Linked DNA regions of Mus musculus. The protein of the gene in region 1 purifies or fractionates together with the protein of each later gene. This does not show direct contact. Links are inferred from orthologs where the notes say so. Each region holds a gene or a part of one and is shown on either strand. Other genes may lie near its edges.

Region 1 (6,946 bases):
GAGTCATCTCCTCCCCCAATGGTCTTGTCACTTGGCATCTGGCCATCAGGCTGGATGCCATGTTCCAGGCAGTAGAGCTCCCAGCAGGCATTGCCGATCTGGACACCAGCCTGGCCAACGTGGATGGAGATGCACTCACGCTGTGGAAAGAGGGAAGAACGTGTGAGAATGTGACACACGAGACCTTGGGGCATGGCTCAAAGATAGGATCACTTTTCAGAGGCCACTCCTGCCTAGGACTATACTTCAAAACCAAGAATTTTTACTGAAGAGCTAACCCAAGAAAAAAAGTCCTCTGAAGGCATTAAGGCTAATGACCTACTAGGCAAGGCCAGGCCATTCAACAGATTGTATCCTTGGCAGTTCAGGATCAGTTTTCTACTGCTTTAGAAAGACATTCAGGATTATGCCAGAATTCCCCAGCTCTTAGTCCTTGCACTTGAGGCAGAACCTTTCCCTGCCAGGGCTGAGTCAAGCTGACTGTCCCATCTGAGCTCACTGCGGTTCCTTTATGGGGACAAAACTTCCTCTTCCCTTTAAAACCAGCTCAAACTAGCCCCCATGACTCACAAAAAAAAAAAAAAAAAAAAAAAAAGGCTAGATAAGCAGATAGTGGTATGCTAAGAGTGGCCAGAGGCAGCCTTGCACCCAGTGAAGACTCTAATCTGCAAGAACAGTTTTCCTTCCCGGTCTCACTGTTAATCCATCTGGTGGGATGTTTTAAAGATCAGAAGACTCCTAAAACTTCACAAAAGTTTAAGAAATGGGGCTGGAGAGTGCCAAGAAGAAAGGAGTAATTAGTGGCTCCCTAGTAGATAGATCAGAGTGTACATTTCTGGCACTGTGGAAAAGTACAAGATTCTAACCATGGTGGTCAGGGGGACACCCTTGTTTTCCTTTCCTTGCTCAATAGTCGCTCTGAAGTTACCAAACCCATTTCCTATTGGTCCAATGAGACAATAAGTGCCTATGCTGAACCCACAGGATTCAGAGGGAGCCAGTGTTCATCATAAATCTGTATGAGATGAGGACCTTGAATTTGGCAGAAAACCTTCACATTTGACAAAGAAGTCTCCCACAGTTGCTATGCTTTTCCTTTAGTAAAGACTTTCATGCTTTTAAGGTCATGAGCAGGAAACTCAATTCAACATCCAGGGTCTCTAAAGAGCAGCTTCTCAGGCCTCAATAGTAAAACAAAACATTGCTCACAACCTTTGACTAGTCTCGTCCTTCCACCCGTGTTTCCCACAAGACAATCAAGGGCTTGGACCACATCAGTGAGATCAGCGTCTCCTGTGCGGAGGACTGTGGGGGAGGTGCAGCTCTGGTTCAAGTGACCTTCACCTGGACTTTAGAGCCTCCAGTCCCCAGAAGCTAGAAAGAACCACAGGCAGGCCTAAGGAAGTGCGGCGTCGGAGGCCATAGATTCTAAGGTGGCATTTCAACAGTAGCCTTTTGGTGCTAAACAGCTTCTTTGTGCAGGCAAGATAGCACATGAAGGTCAATTTCCGCCAAGCCAGATAATGAGTTCAATCCAAAAGACCTGAGTCTCCACACAGGCATGCGTGGCAGACATACATCCACATGAGAAATGTAAAATCTTTACAAACAAGCCTGTCTCCTGGAAGCTAAGAAGCCAAAGCCAAGAGGAACAGATGAATCACTTAGTCTAGCCTCGACTGGATTAAGAGGCTTGCTGGTGTAGCAAAGCCAGACACTTAAGCCATGCTTGCCTAATAGGTGAGCCTGGGGCTTTTCTGAACTGTATCTTTGTGGGTTTGCTTGATCAAAAGCTGTTACGGCATCCCTCTTTCAGAATACAATTCTGAAAGTTTCCTGGGGTGTGGGAGGGCTGTAGGATAGCCTGGGAAAAGAGCCTACTAGTGAGCCTGATCTCGGAACTGCAAGGAAAGCTGCCCTCTCCTGCCCCCACCCCCAAGCATACCAACTATCCAAACGTACACTCCACACAAGTGAATAAAACAAAGAAGCCAACAGCTTTGGGGGCTGGAGAGTTAGCTCAGATGAGAGAGGTCTTGCCTAACTATGTGAAGTTCTGTGTTCCATCCCAGCACCACACAAAATGGTGGCTCGGGCCAGTAATCCCAGTCCTAGTGTGGGAAGGAGGCGACCAGCAGTTCAAGGGTCACCCAGGACTATAGACAGAGGCAGCTTGCGCTACCTGAGGGCTGTGCACCTCACTTCCCCAAAGCTTCCATAGACCTTAAACAATACTGGGATGGGGTTTTCTTTAAAAAAAAAAAAATTTTTTTTTTTTAGATTTATTTCTTATATGTAAGTACACTGTAGCTATCTTCAGACACACCAGAAGAGGGCATCAGATCTCATTAAGGATGGTTGTGAGCCACCATGTGGTTGCTGGGATTTGAATTCAGAACCTTTGGAAGAGCAGTTGGTGCTCTTAGCTGAGCCATCTCTCCAGCCTTTCTTTTAAATTTCTATTGTCAGCTGACCAGGTGCAGGCTAGGTAAATGGTCTCTCAAATAGTTAAAACTTATTTAGCAGGGAGGTTCCTTTTACCGAAATTATTCACTCTGTAGCCCGCTCTAGCCTGGGACTCACTAGGGACTAAGGAGCCCCAAACTCATGATGAGCAATCCCCCTCCCTGTCTCAGCCTCCAAAGTCTAGAGAACTAGCCACTCTCCTCCAAGCCGGGCTGAGTTCCTGGTAACTTTGTTTGCTTTTGAGACCGGGTCTCATTGTGCTGGCTGACCAGAACTCAGAAGATACTCCTGCCGCTGCCTCCAGAGCCCAGGGTTTGATAGCCTCACCCATTTTTTTCTTGAAAACTGAACTAATACATTGTTAACCAGGTGAATAACCCTAGCTCTTGGGTAGTGGAGACAGAAGGATCTTGGTTTTAGTTGAAGGTCATGTTTGGCCACATAATGATTTCAAGACTGGCATGAGCATAAGACACTCAAAAACCAAAGTGCAAGCCAAGTGGTTTGCCTTTCATCTCAGCTCAGGTAGCAGAGGCAGGCAGAGCTCTGAGTTCCAGACCATCCTGGTCTACAGGGTGAGTTCTATTACAGCCAGAGCTACAAAGAAACCCTTTATCGAAGGAAGGAAGGAAGGAAGGAAGGAAGGAAGGAAGGAAGGAAGGAAGGAGAGAGAGAGAGGGGGGGGAGAGGGGAAGGGAGAGAAAAAAACCCGCTGTTGGTAGTTTACTCTAGCTTTAAATTGAAAAAAAAATTTTTTACGGACATTTTTTCTTAACTGGGCTAAATATAAATATGCCGTTGAAGTAACACTAAAAACTAGGCTGGCTTAGGGGATCTGACGCCAATTATTCCCTCCTACGGAGGAGCTCGCCTTCTCAGGTGCACAGCTGCAGCTGGAAGGGCCGGGGACTGGCCACAGGTGACTCAGCAGCGAGTCACAGGGCGTGGAGACGGTGCCCGGAAGTATTTGCTCAGTCCTGTCCAGAGCGCACGAGGTCCTCTGGGCTATCCCAGCTGGGAGAGCGACATCATTTGAGGAAAATGGAGACCTTTGAGTTTCTCCAAACTCTCGTGATCATTGTGAAAGTTCCCTGCCTTTCCGGGAGCGACCGGCGGCCGAGACGGGATGCTCTCCCAGGAGGATCGAGACAGAGGATCGGGACGAGCCCTCCAGCCCAAAGCGACACTAGTTTAGTGGACTAGGCTCTCACACCCCAAACGCCAGAAGCCAGTCTAACTGGAGGCGGCCGTCGTGGGGCTATTGCAGGTATCGTCTCCCGGGCAGCCCTCAGCTCCCGCGGTCCCTTCAGACGACCTCGCCGCTACCCCAAAGCCATACTCACCATATTTAGTCCTTGAAGTGGTCCGCGAAAACTGAGGAAGTGAAAAAGGGTGACGAAGATCTCCCACTAACAGACTACCAAGGAGTCCGGGGGAGAAGCTGTGTAAGGTCCGCCTCCAGGACAGGGCTTATATACCCTGGCCGGGCCACGCGTCGGGAGGGCGGACACCGGACCCCGCCCCGGGCCGCAGCGAAGCCGATGATTGGCGGGTTCGAAAGTTCAAATCAAACTCCGTAGAAGGAGCTGGAAGTGGGAAGGGGAGGAGACACCCAGGGTCCACGCCAGGGCCAGGTGGGGCGGGGAAGAAGGTGGGGAAGGCGATTGGAAGTTGGAGGACAGCGAGATCTTTGTGGAGCTCTGGCCGGAAGAAAGTCCCAGGTAGAGAGGGGGGCGGCCTGGCTCAGCCACCGGGGACTCACAGCTGATCGCCGCCGCACTTGTGGCTCGGTCGCCCCACCCAGGCCTTGGAGCCCGGAAGAGTGAGCCAGAGAGGTGACCCGGGGCTGCCGGCAGGGTGGTGACTGCGACAGCTTCAGGGGGCCAAGATGGAAACGCCCAGTCAACTTGACGGCACAGTGGGAGGGGTGGAGCTGAAGTTAGCTCAAGCCAAAGCCGGTTACAACATCACCAGGGTTGCAGCCCCTGAAGGCAATCTTTCCTAACCTAGGTCTCAGTTGCCTCCAATGGGTCCTAAGCACCTTACTCTTTACTCCCGCCTTCTAGAAGGCTAGCCCTCTCCTCCTTCCTCCCTTCTCCCCACCCTTCCCCCAAGTCCTGAGGATATTTGCCAGAGCATCCCGAGCGCCCTTTTATTTTCGAAGGCAGAGTCTGCCTCAGCTCCTCTTTAAGCAAACATTCCGAGTCTTAAGAGCCTTAAGAGGCACAAAATTATTCGGCCCATTATGAGAGGAACTCGTAACTCCCCCCCGCCCCCCAAGATGGGTCCCCGCTGCAGTGCTCAAGCTAAACCCAGGCGATCCACACTAATTCCTTTCTCTGCGTCTGTGGGATGCAGAGTTCACTCTGTAGTACCACATTCTCTCTGGCCCAAGAGCCCGGGGGCTCCTCTCCTCATTTTACAGTCAAGAGGAGAGGAGAGTTCGGGAAACAAAGCAGGCAAGTGTCTCCACCGCGGGAGACGTTGGACTTCCCTGCCCCACTGCCCTGCACTAGACAGACTTGTCTGAACAACTCCGCAAAGCAGATTTCTCAGAAGTGCCATTCAGTCCTGCTGAGGAGATAGACAGATCCCTGGGAAAGTTTAAGGAACTGGAGTGGTGTGCTTGCTTGTCCTCTTCATACTAAGGAGAGAGAGACAGGAAGAGCCTGGAGCTCACAGGCCAGCTGCTCTTGCAGTATCAGAGTTCAGTGAGGAACCTTGTCTCAAAAAAAAAAAAAAAAAAAAAAAAAAAAAAGGTGGAGAGTCATAGAGGAAGACGGAACATATTGACCTCTGGCCTATGCACGTACACAGAATCTCTCTCTCTCTCTCTCTCTCTCTCTCTCTCTCTCACACACACACACACACACACACACACACACACACACACAAATTAAAAAGCCGCCCTTATTTGAATGTGATGATGCATACCTGTATTTCAGCAGGCAGGGGACAAGACTGGCAAATTTGATCCAGGCTACTTTGTTTCAAATAGAAAAGACTAGAATGCCAGGGATGGCTGTGAAAAGTGGTACAATACAGGCAGACAAGATGGCTCAGTGGTAAGGTCATTTGCCACCAAGCCCGAGGAACTTGGGAGTTTGACTCCCAGGACCTATCCAGTGTAAGGAGAGAACCAACTGTAACTGATTAAATTATCTAATCTTTATACCAATAAAGTACCAGAGGCTTAAACTATGGTAAAGACCTGCTAGCTCAGCAAGGCAACTTTCTTTTCTTTTCTTTTTTTTCTTAACTACATACAAAATATCTATTTACAAGCCTGATTCCACAACTAAACTGCTAGCTCTTTAGAAATTTCTTTCTGGGGCTGGAGAGATGGCTCAGTGGTTAAGAGCACTGACTGATCTTCCTAGAGGTCCTGAGTTCAAATCCCTGCAGCCACATGGTGTCTCTCAACTACCTGTAATGAGATCTAATGCCCTCTTCTGGTGCTGCCTGAAGACCGCTACAGTGTACTTAGATATAATAATAAATAAACCTCTTTTAGCTACAGTGTACTTAGATAAATAAATCTCTTTTTAAAAAAATAAATTTCTTTCTGAGTCAATCTACAGAGCTAGTCTACTTTTCTCTTGAGCTCCTCCAAACCGGAGAGGGCTTCTTAGCTCTCTTTCCTAGAATATTGTTTTACCTGTGTCCTGCCAGCTGTGTCTCTGTTTTCCTGTAAGTCAAAGAGAAAAATCCCTAGCCCTTACTTGGAGCTCCTTCCATAAAGAAGACTCTTCCAAGCAGAGAGAGAGAGAAGGGGAGATGGGAGAAAGAGAGTACTGGAGAGGGAAGAGGGAAGGGGAAAGGGGAAATGGGAAAGTGGGAAGAGAGAGAGAGAGAGAGAACCTCTCCCAAGCAAGTTGCCTTAAAGTTAGCAGGAACTTTCCATTTTTTAGCATTCTTATCTAATGAGGCTTTTAGAGGCGCACCTAAACTGCATCTCTACAGGACTCATTTAGCCGCCTTTGACAAATGCAATTATCTATTTAAACTCTTATATTTTGCTAACAATTAGCTTTTCTATGTACAATAATCAAGTATCCTGTAACACTAATTCCCAAAAGTTGTCCTCTGACATCCATACACATGCCGCAGCAAACACATAGTCTATGTAAATAAAAACGCAAGAAATAAAAAGAAGTCGAGCAATGGTGACAGATGCCTTTAATTCCAGCACTTGGGAGGCAGAGGAAGGCAGATTTCTGAGTTCTAGGCCAGCCTGGTCTACAGAGTGAGTTCCAGGACAGCCAGGGCTACACAGAGAAACCCTGTCTCAAAACAAACAAAAAGGAATGGACCAGGCAGCAGCTGGAGCAAAAGCTTCCAGTCACAGAAAGCCTGTGGTGTTCTTGGGCAGAATGCGAAGGCCAGAGGGATGGAATTGATGCATGGTGAGGAGCTCTGGCACAGTGGAGCATGCCTGTAAACGCCACACGGTGGAGCATGCCTGTAAACGCCGCTACTT
Region 2 (7,227 bases), on another chromosome or scaffold:
AAACCAAAAAAAAAAAAAAAAAAAAAAAAAAAAAAGAGTATCATTTAAACACACACACACAAAACAAACAAACCCAGAAAGCTGTGTGTTTGTTTCCCCAACCCTAACACCCCATATGAGGTACCGAAGTTTTTTAAAAGCCAGGCAATTTTAGTGATCAGGGCAGAGCCCCAGACTGCTTGATCCACACTGGGGAAAGGCGCCTGAGCAAGGATCTGGTAAGCACTAGACCATGCAACATAAACCTCACAGGGTGCACTGCCATCAAAGTGAGCCAAAGGGATGCACCAAGAGCCTGTTCTCAAATGGTTAGTGTGTTAGTATACCAAGAGTGGAGCTGGATCTCTTCTGTTCTAAAGATTTCCCACAGGGGAAAATCTTTTATAAACAAATCTTTACTAAAACTGCAGACAAAAATTAGTATCTTTCCTTCCAATAGCTTTTCTCCATCGTTAAAAAGTCCGAAAGGTAAGTAAAAACTAGAAACTGAGTAACAAAAATATGGATTTTTTAAATTTAAACTTGGTATAAACATGAATCAAACAGATAAACTGGAAAAAAAAAAACTTTAAAAACTCAAGGAAGCCTCCTAGTAATCTACTCCTGTAATTCCTTACAAGGTGAAGGAGAGTCAGGAGGTTCAAGGAAGCCCCTCTGGCCACACAGAGAAGCAGCCAGGCTAAGCTGTGTGAGACCCAGTTTTAACAACTCTAAAAAACGCTATCAGGGAAAACAGAAACTAGCTTTAGAGGTAAGAAAACAGTTCCTATTCCTTAGTCCAATCCAACTGTGGTTGTCTTGTTACATTTCTACAGGGCCCCAGCACAACCTTTATCTTCCAGATACACCTGACGTTTGTACACATGAAAGGCCTCAGATTTGGTTTAGACTGTCCAACAAGTGGGTATTTTAGAACTGGCCAAGTGATGATGTTTGCAGACCGGCAAAGGCAGGGTAGGGTGATGATTTAACACAGAAACAGACAATGCAGAGTACATACATAGATAGATGACTGATAGAACTCAAAATTCTTCTCAGAAAAATATAAATAAATAAAATGTTACTCACGTATGCCAATGTCCTACCAAAGGTTCAGGAATATCTGCTTACCTCTTTTTATTCTCCTGATTTGACTAACAGTAACTTTCAGGCCACTCTTTGAGAAGCCCTACCCCCATTCTAGAGGAAGTTCTCAGCTTCCCTGCTCTACAGAACCCTCCTCTGTTGTCCCTCTTAATGCTCACATCTAAATCTGTAATAAACCCTGTTCCTCATAAACACTAACTCTGCCACAAGAAACCCAGAATCTATTCCGCAGACCAGTTTACATTCTCCAACAGACCTAAAACCAAAATACAAGCCTAGTCTTTAAATTCTTCTTGCCAGATAGCCAACTGCGAGGTCCACACACTTAAGTGTTCCGACATACACTTCAACAGCTTTAACTTCAAAACCATGTCTGTGTGAGCCACAGCGATGAAGTGCCACAAGGCTTGGTTTTGTTTTCGGTTACCTGTAGTGTTTTAAATTAAGTTGAATGGCCATTACTTAAAGATGAAATGGAACAGATGGTTGCAGACGCCCAGGAAGTCAACTCAACTGAAAAGGGTAAAAGAACTTAATCGAACGTGGCACAGGCATGCTCCCCAAATCTCCGCCTAAGTAGCTCATAAACACACACTCCTTCCCCTGAAAAGGCTTTTTCTTTTAAGGTTAGAAAGCAGCGACCCTTGACTGGTTTCTTCCCCTCCTCCTTTCTTAAGGGAAGCGGTAGGAAGCCAAGACATACGCAAAAAAAAAAAAAAAAAGAGGCCGGAAAATGGAAAGCCAGAAAGCAGGACTGGGCAACCGGGACTTTAAATAACCCCAGAAGTGTTTCCAACTTGGCACACGGGAGGAGGGAGCCGCTGGGCTACCTCTCCGCAACCCCGAGCACCTCCGAAGTTCCTGAGCCGCTCTGGGAGGCGTTCCCAGGGCCAGGGGAGGCGAGGGAGCCGTTCCCGGCCCGCCCCACCCGGGCTCTCCGGGCCCGGCTCGCACTCACCTGGGCCGTAGGCCTGGCTTAGCAGCGCCCGAGCCCGGCCCCACACCGCCCGGACCCCCAAACGACCTCCGAGCCCCTCAGCCCCACGCCTCGGACCCCAGCCCGAGCCCCGGCCGCGGGACGCGCCCCGTCGAGGCTCGCCCATCCAGGGCCCCGCGCGACTCCCGGAGGACCCCCGGCCCGAGCCCCGCCGCCTACCTGTCTTCGCTCTTGTTTTTCTGTTTCTTCCCCATCGCTTGTCAACGGCGCTCGCGGCCCCGGCCCCTCGGTTCGGTGTCTCACAGACCCACTGTCTCCCGGCTGACTCCAATGCCCGCTCGGCTCGGTCCCCCTCGCGCCGCCGCCTCTCGCACCCGGCTCTCCACAGACCCGCGCACTGGGACAGGGCACATATGGTGTGAGCCCTCAGTACGCAAGCGCATCGCCCCGCCGCCTCGGCGTGGGGACGCAGGGCGCGGCTCATCGAGAGCGGCGCTTCGGCTAGAGCGTCTCCAGTAGAGCCGCCGGCCAGGTGGGAACCCAGGCGCCCCCTCGCCGCAAGTGAGCGCCGCGCACCGACGTCCGGCGGATCCCGGGTTCTAGAACCTAGAGGACGACAATGAGGCCGTTCATTTCTCACGTCGGCACCCTTCCCGGGGCTGGCTTTCGACGCAGAAGTGGGACTGAAAATTCTCCCCTGCCTACGCGGCCTCAGCTGCGGGAAGTCCATTACAGGACCACAAAGAGTCAATGATGAGCGTTCTGGGGGTGGCAGGACAAAAAATGGGATCCCTCTCAGAAACACTCATGAATTGTCAACTGTGTACATTTATTAAGGGGAAAAAGACATAAGGACACAGCAACGGGTCCCCTAATATGAATCTTCGTATGAGCAAGTTCTAAAAATTCATGTGCCTAAGAAAGTCAGGAGGGAAGATCCTGGCATGGTGAAAATTTTCTCCATGTTTCGGGGCGATGTTACTAGTGTGAGCTGTGTATAAATTATAATGTACTGTAAGCTACACTTTCGAAACTATTAAACACAACGAGAAATGAAGCCCCTCTGTCACTCAGGCTCAAGACCCGGCTCGTTTCCCGGTAGAGCCGGGACCCGCAGTCAGTGCACAAAGAACTACAATTCCCAACGTGCCTAGCGCCCATCCCTCCGGCCATTAGCCCACGTGAAGCGTAGGCTCGGAAGCCAGTAGTTCCGGGTGGCGGAGGATAGGGCTTCTCCGAGGCTTTCGTCACTCGCCACCGCCCTTTCCGCGAGTGTCTCACATTGTATCGCGAGAGGACTGTAGCCAATGAAGTGGCGGAGTTAACAGCCCCTTCTCTGCCCTTAACAATTGCTGCGAGGTTGAAACCTGTGTGAACCCGGTGGGTATTCTTGATCTGCGGCTTCCTCTCTCCGTAGGCCTCATCAATAGTCCAGGTACGGCTGAGGGTGATGTGGCCGATAGTGCCACAGCGTCCCAGTGTTGATGAAGGACACATCCTCGGCTGGGATCGAGGGAGCGGCTGGGAGGGCCTCGTCTGGGCGGCTGCGGAGGCTACGGCGCATGCGCCCCAGTTAGTGCGAAATCGGGTCCCCCCGGAACTACTCCACCAGTCTCTTGAGCTCAGGGAGTGGCGAAGAGTCTGCTGACAGGTACATGGGGTTAGGGTTTCGGTTAGGAGTTTGTAGGGGAGTACATAGGTGTCAGGGCCCCCAGTTCGTCGGTAAGAATAATACTCGATTTGGTTCAATAAATAGAAAGTTATGTCCTTACCCCCAATATAAAGGCAGTGACCACCTCCGCCTAATTCAGGGCAGCACTTTTAGTCGCGTGAAGCTCCGCATTTAAACGTAAAGGTCTCCTGTGAAATTCTCGGTGATAAACGAATACTGTGATGCAGATTCTGAGTGGCTGGTCTCGGATCCTTCTCTCTCTTCCCCGAGTTAGGGATCCTGGGAGTACAGCTTCTTTTCAGTTGTATAGTATTTATGAGAAGCTGACAGTTGGAGTTTTTAAATGACCTTATGTAGCCCAGGCCTATCGCTCCAAATATGAGGTGTGACCCTTATGCTTCTGCCCTTGAGAGCTGAGGTTGTAATCATGAGCCACCATGCCCAGGCTTATTTTGTGTGTGAGCTGATTAGTTTTAGCTGTCAACTTGATAGAATAATCTACGGTCACCTAGGAAGAAAGACTCATTGAGAAATTGGGTAGATTAGGTTGGCCAGTGGGCATGGCTCAGAGAGTAGGGATTGTCTTGGTTGCATTAATTAATCTACTCCCAGATTAATGTTGTTCTCCAGCAGATGTTGGACACAAGTAGACGTGTGTGTAATTACTTCTCTCTGCTTCAAGAGCCTGCCTTTAGTCGTAGAAGCGATGGGCTGTCACCTGGACTTGTAACGTTTATGTCAGGATATTTTTGAGGAAGTATGCCGAAAAGCAAGCTAGTGTATTTAGGGATTTCCCTGGATTCTGGAACCATAAATGAGATCTTTGATGGTTTACATCTTTATTCTGGTTTTGGCAGGTGTTGGGGCCTACATGCTGAGTTCTAAGGCCAAAATAGTGCCTCCAACATGGCATCTGTTGTGTTAACCTCTCAGGCTCTGTTACAGAGACCCTGTTTTAAAAAAAAAAAAAAAAACAACAAAGCCCCCGAAATGTAAACTTAATACTTATTTTTTATGCCCCCTCCCCCAGCACCAAGACCACTTAGAACAATGGAAGGTAATGGATCCGTCGACATGTTCTCAGAAGTCCTGGAGAACCAGTTCCTCCAGGCCGCTAAGCTGGTGGAGAATCACTTGGACTCTGAAATTCAGAAACTGGATCAGATTGGTGAAGATGAACTGGAGCTGCTCAAAGAAAAGAGGCTGGCGGCGCTCAGGAAGGCTCAGCAGCAGAAACAAGTAACCTCCCGCCCGCCCGCCTGCTCACTGAATCACTGGAGCCCAGCTCCCGACTGCACTGCAGTCATGTGACTTTCCCTCCTCACTTGCAGGATGTTCTGAATTCACATCTCCGTCAATGTTCAATACTTAACCCAGGGATGAAACATTAGGGAAGGTTTAGGCAAGATGAAGCATTTGACTGGGGCGTTGATAGTAAAAGAGAGATGAAACGTCTTCTCATAGACCAAGCTTAGGGTCCACGTATCAGAAAGAAGTATCATGGTTCTGTACGAGAAGATATTTAAGTGTTAGACTCTGCATTTTTATTAGGTTATCTTTTGTGGGGGGGCAGGACAGGAGCAGGATCTCACTGTATAGCCATGACTGGCCTAGAACTCACAGACAACACCGCTTCTGCCTACGAAGTGCTGGAGTTGAGCGCCAGCACCCCTGTTCTGTTTGTGGTTTTCATGGCCACTCAGTGACGTGGTTGGTTTGTCACACTGACTTACAAGAGAGAAGGTGAAGGCTCGGAAGGTTCATTAGAACCCTGGTCAGTTAATGCTGGGGTGGGTGTTGCCACTGCTGCCTGAGGAGGGAGAGTGAGCATCTGTTTGAGGTGTCAAGCTTTCTGCCACAGGAAAGGTAGAAGGGGCTGGAAGAGTTCCCAGGATTGTGGGTAATGGCCCTTCCTCAGCCTGGGAAGCTGAACGTTTCCTTGTGAGGCTTTTCCTTGGCTCTGGACCCCACATGGATATAATACTCTTCCTTCTGAGGACTCTGCCCACTGTTGGCTGGTGTAGAAGCCCTCCCTGTTTTGAGATGGATAGGTTCTTAAGCTCCTGAGCGGTGATGACTGCACTGTCCCCAGGATAGACGGACTTTATTTCTTGAGGTGGTTTGGTTTGTTTAGTTTTTGCTGTGGATAGGACATTGTTTCTAAGTATACCATGCTCAGTCTGTATAATGTTGCTTGTGTGTACATTTTCAAGGCTGACCGTTCGGTAGTGGATAGCCAGTTGGTGTGCTCTCCCTGGAGAACACTCTTTCTCCCACACTCAGCATCCCTTAATTGTCTGTAAGAACATTATTTTCTAAAGTGTAGAGCTCTTCCCTAGCCTGCTCTTCCTGGTTTAGTCCCTCGCATCACAAAATAAACAGAAAAACACTTTTGTAATCATTTGGATCAAACAATCCTGATTTTACTAGTTTAAAGAGCATGCATGTGAAAGTTAAATTGGTATTTTCATGTCATGTCTCTCAGACCTAAATTCTGACTGTGAAACTTAAAATGAAGCAGGTAAATCAATAAGATGCAAAACTGTCTTAATTGAACCATCATAGAGACGGTCACTCCTGCCCACAGACTAGGTCTGCACTAATTGCCACTTCGGCATAGGAAAGCCAACTGCGGATGGGAACACCTGCTATTTATAGAATTGATTCCTTTACAGAAGTACACAGTGATTGAGACATGTAAGACACTTGGTGTCACTGAAACACATTTCAGCTGGGTCTTTTTTGCTTCTCTTGAAATTAGGAGTGGCTTTCCAAAGGGCACGGGGAGTACAGAGAAATCGGCAGCGAGAGAGACTTCTTTCAAGAGGTCAAGGAGAGTGAGAAAGTGGTTTGCCATTTCTACAGAGACACCACATTCAGGTAACCTGGCTCCTGACTTCATCTCTATGGTGATGAGACATTAACGTAGACACACTGCTGACTTGGTAACTGAGAAAATTAAAAGGATAACTGCCATGTTCCTGCGTGGTGATGTGCTCACAGGTGCTTTCATTATTGTAGAGATTTAACTAACAAGCCAGCAATGTGCAAGTAAATAAGTCAGTCTTATTGGAAGTCAGCACTCCTGTGGCTTCTCCATGTAACTCCAAAGACAACCTGAAGTGCATGCGTGTACTTCTTACCAAAACAATCGTTTGATATGCTGTGTTCTCAGGATGCTGGGGATTGGAAGCCAACAGCTTTCCCAGTTGTTTATCCTTCCAGTCTTGGTCCTCTTGGTAAGGAGACAGAGGCTTGACCAAGTCTTCCATCAGAACCGTGGGTGGAACTGTCAGATGTGGAGAGAAGTGATTTCCCTTAAGGCAGCCCAGTCTCTGAGGGCTTAGACAGGGAGAGTAGCGCGCCTCCCCGGGTTATGTTTTTTGAGGGAGCAAGAACTAAGGATTTGTACGTGCTAGGCAACTGTCCTACAACTGAGCTAAAGCCTCAGCCCAAGAGGTTAGGTCTTAAAACAAAGGACTCAATCACACATGAGTGTGTGTGTGTGTGTGTGTGTGTTTCCTTCAGAAAG

The links.
Region 2: the proteins of Tuba1c (region 1) and Txndc9 purify together in Homo sapiens (co-immunoprecipitation; 3 studies listed by BioGRID and IntAct, counting the BioPlex papers as one, with this or other methods). This does not show direct contact. The link is inferred for Mus musculus from reciprocal best matches to the Homo sapiens genes TUBA1C and TXNDC9.

The regions. Positions count from the first base shown.
Region 1 is NC_000081.6:99,027,288-99,034,233, reverse strand, and holds the start of Tuba1c (tubulin alpha-1C chain), read right to left. Parts: upstream 4,344-6,946; 5' UTR 3,813-4,343; coding exon 3,810-3,812; intron 141-3,809; coding exon 1-140. UniProt on the Homo sapiens protein: Tubulin is the major constituent of microtubules, a cylinder consisting of laterally associated linear protofilaments composed of alpha- and beta-tubulin heterodimers.
Region 2 is NC_000067.6:37,993,340-38,000,566, reverse strand, and holds the start of Txndc9 (thioredoxin domain-containing protein 9), read left to right. Parts: upstream 1-3,358; 5' UTR 3,359-3,458; exon of another isoform or gene 3,459-3,674; intron 3,675-4,725; 5' UTR 4,726-4,745; coding exon 4,746-4,934; intron 4,935-6,456; coding exon 6,457-6,575; intron 6,576-7,227. Other genes in the region: Eif5b (eukaryotic translation initiation factor 5B), read right to left, coding at 2,243-2,277. UniProt on the Homo sapiens protein: Significantly diminishes the chaperonin TCP1 complex ATPase activity, thus negatively impacts protein folding, including that of actin or tubulin.